Canis lupus familiaris: one gene and its partners. The protein of the gene in region 3 purifies or fractionates together with the protein of the main gene of each other region. This does not show direct contact. Links are inferred from orthologs where the notes say so. Each region holds a gene or a part of one and is shown on either strand. Other genes may lie near its edges.

Region 1 (3,749 bases), on a different chromosome or scaffold from region 3:
TCAAGTTATAGTTTATAGTTTCTATTACCAAAACTTACTAAATCTTGGTAGTTTGTTTTTTTTTTTTAATGTGAAGATGAAAATATTCTGGACTTTTTGTTCTGGTTAAGGAGCTCCAGAAGCCAGTCTGTTTTGTAAACAGATATTTGTCAAGCAATGCAGCAATAGGTTGATCCTATTACTCTGCAAGGAGGTATGCAAAGAGGATCTTTCCCTTTGAAGGGGAGACACAGAATAGTTCCACTGTAAGTCAGCTACATCAAAACAGGGTGCATGACTATCTCAATGCTGTCCTCACAAATCTCAACAGACCATTCTTTATGCTACCAGCTTAACTACAGGTCCCCAAAATTTGACCTACAGCACTATTTTCTCAAATATCTGCCACCTCGATGCACACGTTTTATAATCTGAATCAAACTCACTTCTAGTTCATAAAAACTCAAAGTGGTCTAAATATTCTTAGTATTGTATACTGCCCCTGTGGGATTCAAAAACAAAACTGATTACTTGTTTACACTAGGAATTAAAGAAAAGGTAGCTTAAAAAAAGATACATTACTTGTAAATTTCTCAGACAAGCTAAAGTAAAAGCAATGTACAAAAATGAATCAAAATGCCCAAGACAAAATAGGTTTTGGCATAGTCAACTGAGTAAGCCAGTCAGGATTCTTGGTATCAAGCAGGACTAATACAGAAAGCATGGCCTACCCTCTCTCCTGACTGGTGCAATGTCCTAAATTACAAGACAAGTTACACTACAAGCCCTACCAACTTGGTTCTATGAATGACAGTAGAGCTATCCTCACTAATAGCCCGGTTCCAAAATTTACCCAAAAAATCTTTTAAGTCTTAAAGATCTCTATCTCTAATGAAGTGAAATCAGAATTAGGATTACATAACAAAGAAAATAAATGACAAAATTTATTTCAGTATTTTCAGCAAGTATTTCGAAAGTTTCACGAACAGCCAACAATTTGGCTACAGCAAAGATTAGACAAATCTGAACCAGTGCCACAAACTAAGCCCCCAGCTTTCGGACTGAGAAGCTCTCCGCCCCACCTGAGGCGGATAGATACTCGGAGACCGAGGCCAGTGTCTAAGCCGAAAGTTAGGCCTCTTCCTCCCTCCGGGAAGCGCATGACAAACAACGTCATGCAACTTATGTCACCCGGTCACTTAGCAAAAATCCTATCTAACTTCTAAACTTGGGTCCAGATGGCCATTTATACTCAAAAGAAATAGAAAGCAGCTAGATCATTGTGGGGGAGGAAGGCTTAAAATGCCCCACTTTCTGGCCCCTTTAAATATTCAGCCCATCATTAGATCGGAGTCCTAAATTCTAAGACTTACTTTAATGGAGGCCTCCCTCAACCTTCTCCATGTCTGTTTTGCAACAGTGAAGGAACTTTTCCTGCTTTATCTTAGTTCCCTGAGAGCATGCGGCCCTGCAATTCAATATCCTAAACTGGCAGGAACAGTGGAGGAGGCAAAGGGAGGAATCCACAGCCAAAATAGCCTTCTTATTAAAGACAAAAAAAAAAATCATAATTCCTCCTCCGCCCATAGCAAACCCATCCCAGAAATTTACAGCTTGTTAAGAAAGCAGCATTGCGAACTGCAAACGTAAGAGTTTTCCTTTGACTCTACGCACGGTTTTCAGCTGTCAAATTACAACTCAGGAAAACACTATCATTAGAATAAAAAAGGAAACAAAAAAGCTCGCACCATAGGAGCTGGGAGAAGGAGCTCACCAGCCCCATTACGGAAGAAGGAGAGCAAAGGGAATCCAATCCATTTCCCCACCCCCGCCTGAATTCATCCCCTCCCCGGGCAGGCAAACCTCACTGCAGGAGCTCAAATTTAATAATAATAACAATAATCATGGCGCTTCCATACCCCCCCCGCCCCGACGCGATCTGCCGGGAATCAGCCTCCCCCTCCCCTGGCATCTCCAGACTTGGCAGGTCCAGACTATCCCACCGGACACAGCTCCCGGGGGCCCGGGCGAGCCCGGTCTACCCCCGTGCCCCTCGCCCCGCTTCTCTTCTTCCCTCTCTTTTTACCTCCACCATCCCCCATCCGCATTGTCTGTCTCAATTCAACTTTGACTAATATGGATTCCTCGGGCCTGGGCCGGGCGGTAATTACAGCCCGCCCCCCCCCCGCCGGGAGCCCGATCCCCCCCCGCAATCATCTCCGCCGAGTTCAACGCGGCTCCTCGGAGGGAGACGGGGCGGGGAGGGGGGAGGAGGAGGTTGCAGCGCGCCTTCCCGTCTACACCGCGGGCACCGTCTCCACCGCGCTCCCCCCGCGGCCCCGGACCCCCGGGACCAGAAGTTTGCCCCGGAAGGGGCCTAGCCGGGGGCGGTGAGGCCCCCCCGCGCCCGCCGGCCGGCGCGTAAACACGGGCGCCCGCCCCGGCGCGGCCTCGTGGGGGAGGGGAGGGCGGGGAGGCGCCCCTCCCCCCGCCCGCCAGCCCGCCGGCCCTATTACCTGTCATTGAGCTGGTCCTCGGTGCCCGGCAGCGGGTGAACCACGAAATGGATGGACGTCATGGTGCTTCCTTCTCGTCCTCCTCCCGAGGACGGCCCCCTCCCGCTCTCGCCCACCCCCTCCGAGCCCCCTTCCCCTCCCCAAAACCCACTGCCGCCGCCGCCGCCGCCTCCCAGTCCCCAATGGAGGGAAGCGAATGCGCAGGGGCCGCCGCCGCCTCCCTGCCGGGCGTGTGTCCGCGGCCCGGCGGTCCGGCGGGGCGGGCAGGGGCGGATCAACACGCCACCCGCTCCCCGGCGACAGCGCGCGGGAGTGCGAGGCCGGCGGCCGGGACTCGGGGCGCGCCGCCGCCAGCGGCGGCCGGGCGTCGGGAGCGGGGGCGCTGGGGAGGGCGGAGAGGGGCGGGCTGCGGGCTGCGGGGACGGTGTGGTCCCGGCGGCGGACGGGGTCCGGACTAGGGAGGTGGGGAGGGAGATGAGCCCGCACCGCGCGTCACTGGCGAGAAGCCGCCGCCGCCGCCAGCACCGCCGCCGCCATCTTCACTTCTGCCCCAGTTTCTCCGTCTCGCAGGCTCCGCTCCCGAGCGGCGGGGGAGGGGCGAACGGGAGGAGGAGAAGGAGGGAGGAGACCGGCGGGCGGGGGCTCGGCTGCGAGGGGGCGGGGCTCCGGGAAACGGGCGCTAAGGCCCTTTCGATTGGGCGGCTCAACGTCGTCGGGCCACGGCGCTGTAAGGCGCGCGCCGATTGGTCGGTGCGGCCCCGAGCCCAGCCCCCCGGGGGGTGGGAGCGCTCCCGAGTGAGTGTTCCGGAGAGCACGTGTTAGGGAAGGAGGCGGCGCGGGGGAGCCCGCCGGGGCGGGGAAGGGGTCTGCGAGGGCGGCTGAGTGTGTGTCCCCGGGGACGTGGGAAGGAACGGGGGCTCTGCGCTCCTCGCTCTGATTTCCCTGGGGCGGTCCTAATCATCCTGCGGATCTTTAGGGGTTTTTTGTTGTTGTATCTCGCCCTTCATCCGCAGTTATATTTAAAGTGGAAGTGCAAAATCACTTAAGGGGCAAGGAATACACAGCCTTTTATTGGAGAAGTGAGGTAGTTATGTAAGGACCTTTCCAGAAGGTCCTATCGCAGGATCCGAGAGCTGACTTTGCAGCAACTTCTTTTATCACCCCAGTCTCCCCAGTGTTCCCGGCAACACGTCACATACCTGCACAAAGACAAAATGTGGAAATTTCCGCTAATTTCCTGCTTTAAATGATTCA
Region 2 (3,749 bases), on a different chromosome or scaffold from region 3:
AGGATCCATGTATCCCATGTTTATTGCAGCATTATTTACAATACCCAAATTATGGAAGCAGCCCACGTGTCCATTGATAGATGAATGGATAAAGATGGTTGCACATATACAATATAACTTTTTAAAAAAGATTTATTAATTCATGAGAGAGGCAGAGACACAGGCAGAGTGTGCTGGGGAGCAGGCTCCCCATGGGGAGCCCGATGTGGGACTTGATCCCAGGACCCCAGAATCACCCCCCTAGCCAAAAGCTATCTCAACCACTGACCCACCCATGTGCCTGAATATTTTTTTTTAATTTAAAGATTTTATTTATTTATTCATCAAAGACACACACACAGAGAAGCAGAGACATAGTCAGAGGAAGAAGCAGGCTCTCTGCAGGGAACCCAATGTGGAACTTGATCTGGGGACCCTGGGATCATGACCTGAGCCAAAGGCATAGGCTCAACCACTGAGCCACCCAGGCATCCCTATGCAATAGAATATTATTTGGCCATGCAAAAGAATGAAATCTTCCCATTTCCAACAACATAAATGGAGCTAGAAAGTATAATCCAAAGCAAAATAAGTCAGTCAAAGAGACAAATCCCATGATTTCATACATATATGGAATTTAAGAAACAAATGAGCAAAGGAAAAAAAGGAAGACAGAGACAAACCAAGAAACAGACTCTTAACTATAGAGAACAAACTGATGGTTACTAGAGGGAAGGTGAGTAGGGGGAGGGGAGAAACAGTTGAAGGGGATTAAAGAGTACAATTTTCATCATGAGCAATGAGTAATGTATAGAATTGCTGAATTACTATATTGTACACCTGAAACTAACAGAACACTATACATTAGCTAAACCAAAATTAAAAATTTAAAGAACAAAAACAAATAAAAGGAAGAGAGAACAAATGAGAGTATGTGATGGAATTGGTGTGTTTGGCGGGGGAGAGGCGGAGTCCGTAGTCCAGGCAAGGAATGATGGAGCTAGAGTAGAAGAAGAGAAGCAGATGGATTTAAGAAATATGTGTGGAGTTAAAACACTGGACTTGGTGATGGACTGGACATCTAAGGTGATGGAAGTTTGCAGTTAGCATGATTCCACAATTACTGGCTAGCATATCTTAATGGATAATGGTGCCATTCATCCAGATAGGGAACACCAAGAGGCCCAAATAGTAAAATAACAGATTTGCTTTGGGACATGTTAAATTTAAAATGCCTTTAAGGGGGCGCCTGGGTGGCTCAGTTTGTTAAGCATCTGCCTTTGGCTCAGGTCATGATGATGATGGGTCCTGGGGTCCAGCTCTGTGAGGCTCCCTGCTCAGTGGGGAGTCTGCTTCTCTCTCCCCCCCCCCCCACCCCCGCCGTTCACGCTGTCTCTCTCTCTCAAATAAATAAATAAAATCTTAAAAAAAAAAAAAAAATGCCGGGCAGCCCGGGTGGCTCATAGCTTTAGCTTTCGGCCCAGGGCGTGATCCCAGAGTCCCGGGATGGAGTCCCGTGTCGGGCTCCCTGCATGGAGCCTGCTTTTCCCTCTGCCTGTGTCTCTACCTCTGTGTGTGTGTGTGTGTGTCTCTCATGAATGAATAAATAAAACCTTTTTAAAAAAAATAAAATAAAAAATGCCTTTGAGGTATCAGGCAGGCAGACACACTATAGAGGTTTATTTTTCAGAGTAAAGGCGGCTCCGGACAAAGAAATTTACGAGCAACTGACATACGGTTGGTAATGAGACTGTGTTGGTCAAAGAGGGCCCAGAACATAACCTTGAGTAACCAAAAACGTACAACGAGGGACCTGCAATAAGACGAGGAAGACGAGCCAAACCAAGCCATAGAAGCCCAGAGAAGGGAGTGTTATCAGAAAGACGAAATGCTCAACACACCCAAACACTGCTGAGAACTCTGGTAGAGCTAAAAACGGAAAAGCGTCTGTTGGATTTAACGACTTGGAAGCACCGTTAACTTCAGCCCGGGTTCCTTCGACCGTGATCGAGGGAACGACGGACCGGGGTCTGTTAACGGGAGGTGAGCTGAAAACAGACAACTCTAGAGAAGTTTGGCTGTGGATGGGGGACAGGGAGGAGACAGCGTGGCCGGAGGAGGGAGACGCGGGACCATCGAGTTAATTTTGCTTCCTTCTCTTAAGTAGAAAAAACATGGGCATGTTTCAAAGACGACAGTAGAAATTCTCGGAGACGGTGATGATTCTGGGGAGTCACTCGACGGTCTCCCCCACCCCTTTTATCTTCTCCCGCGTTCTCTCCCCATCGCCTCCAGCCCCCCTTCTCCCTTTCCCACCCCCACAACCCCAGGGTCCCCAGCCACCCCGGCCTGCCGGTCCGCAGGCGTCTCCTCACCGCAATGGCCCCCTCGCTCAGGTGGCCCACCATGACTCCGCCGCGCAAACTCCCGCGCTCCAGCTCGTCAGCAGACCCCACTTCCCTCCTGGGGCCCCGCGCGCTCCAAAGCTATTGGGCCAAGGAGCTGCAGGCACCACCCCCGCCTACTGACATGCGCAAGGCACGGGGGCGGGCTTAGTGGCGGGGCAGCCGCCCCATTGGCCGAGGCGCTGCGAGCAGCCACGTGACACGCGGGAGCCCAGGCTGAGGCCCTAGTCACCCGACGGCTGCGCCAGGGGGCGGGGCCGGGGCGTGGGTCGCGCCAAGGATGACGCTAGCTCTTGCTCTGGGCCCTCGGTCTAGTCCCGGAAGCTTTCCGAGACGCGTCTCGGAAAAAAAACTTGGCTCGGCCTTTGGCTGACAGGCCTACTGGTCGCCCAGAAGAGAGAGCTGTTCCCTGATGACTGTGCTGCCAACGGTAGTCAAAGCACCAACCTGATTACTTCAGCAACCGAAACGCCGAGCTCCCCCCGTTGCTAAACCCCGAGCTTGGCCCATCGGGGCTTTTCCTAAGGTAAATAGGATCCGATCGCCGCCCTCGGGAGAAAGCGTAGTCTGTCGAGGGAGTTACCGCAGTGAGTAGCCTTAACTCAATGTAGACATGATATGGGCCTCAGAGGAGACATAAAGTGTTCCGTGCTCGCAGATGGAAAATCAGGGAAGGCTTCCTGGAGGAGGTGCTATTTGAAGTGGGTCTTGAAGGGGGTGTGTGCAGATTTGCCGAGTGGACGCTTAAGTGAGGATAGGGATGCTACCAGAAGGATGGCATGGCCTATGCAACAACTAGAGAGGCAAATAGCCTGGCAAGTTGGGGATAGCTTTAAGTAGCTCAGAATAATAGGGTACAGAAGAAGACGTGAGACTTGGGCCTTAGAAAATGAGCCCAGGGGTCGAATAGTGAAGGATTTGTACAGGGCTTCCCCAAAAGCTTGGAGGAGCTTTAAGTCAGAGGACCTACATCTGTCTCAATGTGGAAGATGAATTGAATGATCTGGGGATTGAAAGAAAAAACAGCTGTGTAAGAGATACATTTGTTAATTAAGTAGTAGGTGGAGAGAGAGAAAAATCTGTGATGTCTGACTTGAACAGCTTGGGAAGATGGAGGTCTGAGGCAAGCATGGTGCGTGGAACAAACTAGGCCTTCAGTAAATATTTCTGAATAAAAGGATTTTCGGTGAATAGGTGTGAGACAAAATAGATCCTCAGCATGTAAACTATGGAAAAAGACCACAAGAATTGATTTTGTTGCTTCATGTTTGCTGGAGTGAAAGGTTGATTTTTTTTTTCCCCTAGAATTGTGCATTTGTAGAAATCTGAATTCCTTATTTTCTTATTTATTTTATAGACCTAAAG
Region 3 (3,649 bases):
TTTACTGAAATTTGAGAGTTCCTCAAATAGCAAGCTTCCACTTAAAACTGTAAATGAAGCCTGCTCATCTTCAAGCTCCATAAAATCTTACAGGACCCTCTGATCAACTTTTTAGTGCCTCATCTTCACTCTAGGAATGGACTAAGGATTTACAAAAGTTAGAAGAAAGCTTTCAAAAAGCAAAGGACTAAAATAAACAGACATGAAAACTAATTAACATGGAAGAAACCCACAAAATCCAAGGAATAGAAAGAAAATAAATGCTGGGGAAAAATTTGCCACCATAACAGACTATGATGCTATGAAATTACTCCTTAAAATTAACATGATTGCTAAGATACAAATTTCAATAGAGTAATTGGGAGCTGAGAAAGTCTACATAGTAAAACAAAAGCAAAGGTAAAAAAAAAAAAGAAACGTGACCAATAAACTTAAAAAGTGAAAGGAGTTAGGTGGCCAACTACCAGAAATTCCAGAAAAAAATAAAGAAAAGGGAAGGATCATAATTATCAAACAACAGCTAACCTCTGAGCTCTTACTATATTGTAGTCACAGTTCTAAGCACCTTATTATTTAATATTACTCTAACTCTGTGAAGCAGTTAGTACTTACATGTTCTTTTTATCAATAATGGAACTAAGCTATAGACAAATTAAGTCATACAGCCAATAAGCAGGAAAGCTAGAATCAATTGTAGGCAGTCTGACTCCAAAGTCCAAGCTCTTCACCCCTATCCCGAGATCTTTAAACTCACAATTCCAGATTCAAAAGGAAAAACAAATGCCCAATATAATGAATTAAAGCCCCACATTCATGGTAGAACTTCTTAACAGCAGAACTAAGAGTTGATGCAAAAAACTTTCAGAGAAAATAAATAGGTTATATATAAAAGGAATGAAAATCAGATGACATTTTATGTTCTCAATAGGAACATTGATTGCTAGAAGTCAACAGAGTAAAAACTTAATTTGATCTGAATATGATTTTGAATTTAGAATAATATAGCCACCCAAACTATCAGTTTATCATTAGACACCTTTCCTTAGGGAGCTAATGAAAGATGTGTTTAAGCAGAAGAGTAGTCCAAAAAAGATAAAGACATGGAATCCAGAAAAAATTCCAGGCTCCGCTTCAAGGAAACCATGATGGAATGCTACATGATTAGCTTTGAAGGGGATCCAGGAGACTAGCGAGCACAAAAACAATAGAGGGCTCAAGGAAGAAGTGTCCAGGAATAGGAGTGCCTCAGATTACAAAGTGGAGTGTGTAAAAATGTATGAGACCATGATACAGTCAAATAGTAATAGGGAAAAGAAAAGACAATTCTTAACTCAAGGAAAATTTTTAAAAGGTTTTCAGGAAAGGAAATAAAATCAGCAATGAATGATATTATTATAGTCATGATGTAAACTCTGACTTAAATAAAAAAATGAGATTTAATCAAATTATAAGGACTGAGGGTGAACACAGGTAGGAAATGTGAGGGAAATTCAAGAGATGATGTCTAAAACTGATAAACAAAAAACAAAACGTAAAAAGCCCTGAGAGAAAAAGCATATTATTCAGAAACAACTGAAGTAACTAACAGCTGCCTCTGAGAAATCAGACTTGAGAATAGAGAAGAACATGAGCTAGGGACTGAATTATTGATTTTTAGTATAAGCCTTTCAGTATCTCTTAAATTTTATTTTTTAAATGTCTCTTTGATTAAAGAAAAAACAACAAAGAAAACCTCCCAGATACGACAATAACCTTAACTTGGGTTTTGTGGTACATACTTTACCCGTAGGGAGGTCAGGAGTGTATATACTTCACATGCTCCGATCCAGGCCTTTGTTCCCTGCAACCTGTTATTAAGTTGAGAGGCACCCTGTGGATCAAAACCTTCCTTCCATGCATCTTCAATCATAGACTGAATTTTTGGAATGCAAGGAATTGACATACCTAAAATTATACAAGCAAACACATTACATGACAATTACTAAAGTACTAAATAGTATTAGTTAGTAGTACACCATGTGCTCTAGAGGACCTATAACACGGTTTTTAAGATCATTACTCTTGACATTTTCTATTGTATCATTTTCTCTTCTTCCAACCAGAATTCAGGTTTTAATGTAATTATCCACCAAAACACTTCTTCGTTACAGCTATTAATTGTATGTACTATATATGAATTCATTCCATATTATATGTACAGGTGATCCTTGAACAATGTAAGGGTTAGGAGCACTGACCCCTGACACAGTCAGAAATCTGCATACGTTTTGCTCCCCCAAAACTTTCTTAAAGATTTTATTTATTTACTTATTAGAGAGAGGGAGAAAAACATTGAGATATCACAAGCAGGGAAAAGTGGCAGAGGGAGAGGGAGACTCCTTGCAGAGCTTGATCCCAGGACCATATGAGCCGAAGGCAGACGCTTAACCAATTGAGCCACTCAGGCACCCTGTGCTCCCCAAAAACTTCACTACTAATAACCTACTGTTGACCAGAAGCCTCCCGAATAAATATAAAAGGAACAGTTGATTAACATATATTTTATGTTATACATATTATATACTGTATTCCTATAATAAAGCTAGAAAAAAGAAACTCATAAGGAAAAAAGTCATAAGAGAAATAAAATACTAGGCTGTAAAAACTCCATTTATAAAAATCCATGTATATGTAGTTCAAACTCATGTGTTTTAGAGGGCTTATGTTATCAGTGGACAAATTGAGAGAACTGTATTTCACATACCTTTCAAGCAATCATCATAAGCATCATTTTGCAGTAATGATGAAAGTAGCATCTGGAAATTTCTGTAACCACAACCCCAACCTTTGTCACCAAAAGATGAATGAAAGTGATCCACCCCTGTGGAAAGCCACACGCGTCTCACATCTGTGGCAGCATTCTGATAGTATCTATAAAGTGCTTCAATAATTCCTAAAATAAAAAAAAAGAAGATTTAGAAGGATAAGCTATCCTCTTCTATGGATAAGCTATCCTCTTCTATGGCTGTCTCATCTATTTCTAGTATCAGCCCCTCTCCACCCTCAAGTGCCCCATCTAAATCCTGTCAATTCCATCTTCTTTATCTTTTGACTGTTATAACCTTAGTTCATGTCTTTCTTGTTACTACTATGCAAGTTTTCCTGACACTAGCATGCTACTTACTTATTACACAGAATTGAAGCGGTTTACATCTTTCATTTCTGCACCTGCAAGGTGCACATAAAAGACAATCACTGAACTCTCACTTGAATGAGGGTAACTATGGGAAAATCAGTTTTGTCCTTAACAAGACAGAGCAAATAAGTCAAAACAATTGAATGAATGTTATACTTGTCTATTATTATACATAGTGTTGGACATTATGCTCTCTGAAGCTCATCAATTTGCTCCCAATTTAAAACCTTTAGTAATGGGATCCCTGGGTGGCGCAGCGGTTTAGCGCCTGCCTTTGGCCCAGGGCGCGATCCTGGAGACCCGGGATCGAATCCCACATCGGGCTCCCGGTGCATGGAGCCTGCTTCTCCCTCTGCCTGTGTCTCTGCCTCTCTCTCTCTCTCTGTGTGACTGTCATAAATAAATTAAAAATATATATATAAAAAAATAAATAAATAAAACCTTTAGTAATTTCCTATTACCTATAGAATGGTT

What was found.
Region 1: the proteins of ZUP1 (region 3) and UBR5 purify together in Homo sapiens (affinity purification with mass spectrometry, with the first as the bait; 3 studies listed by BioGRID). This does not show direct contact. The link is inferred for Canis lupus familiaris from reciprocal best matches to the Homo sapiens genes ZUP1 and UBR5.
Region 2: the proteins of ZUP1 (region 3) and RPA1 purify together in Homo sapiens (affinity purification with western blotting; 4 studies listed by BioGRID, with this or other methods). This does not show direct contact. The link is inferred for Canis lupus familiaris from reciprocal best matches to the Homo sapiens genes ZUP1 and RPA1.

Annotation. Positions count from the first base shown.
Region 1 is NC_049234.1:4,153,953-4,157,701, forward strand, and holds the start of UBR5 (E3 ubiquitin-protein ligase UBR5), read right to left. Parts: upstream 2,639-3,749; 5' UTR 2,558-2,638; coding exon 2,496-2,557; intron 1-2,495. UniProt on the Homo sapiens protein: E3 ubiquitin-protein ligase involved in different protein quality control pathways in the cytoplasm and nucleus. Mainly acts as a ubiquitin chain elongator that extends pre-ubiquitinated substrates.
Region 2 is NC_049230.1:45,903,368-45,907,116, reverse strand, and holds the start of RPA1 (replication protein A 70 kDa DNA-binding subunit), read right to left. Parts: upstream 2,510-3,749; 5' UTR 2,388-2,509; coding exon 2,355-2,387; intron 1-2,354. UniProt on the Homo sapiens protein: As part of the heterotrimeric replication protein A complex (RPA/RP-A), binds and stabilizes single-stranded DNA intermediates that form during DNA replication or upon DNA stress.
Region 3 is NC_049222.1:57,641,158-57,644,806, forward strand, and holds part of ZUP1 (zinc finger-containing ubiquitin peptidase 1), read right to left. Parts: intron 2,933-3,649; coding exon 2,744-2,932; intron 1,945-2,743; coding exon 1,779-1,944; intron 1-1,778. UniProt on the Homo sapiens protein: Deubiquitinase with endodeubiquitinase activity that specifically interacts with and cleaves 'Lys-63'-linked long polyubiquitin chains. Shows only weak activity against 'Lys-11' and 'Lys-48'-linked chains.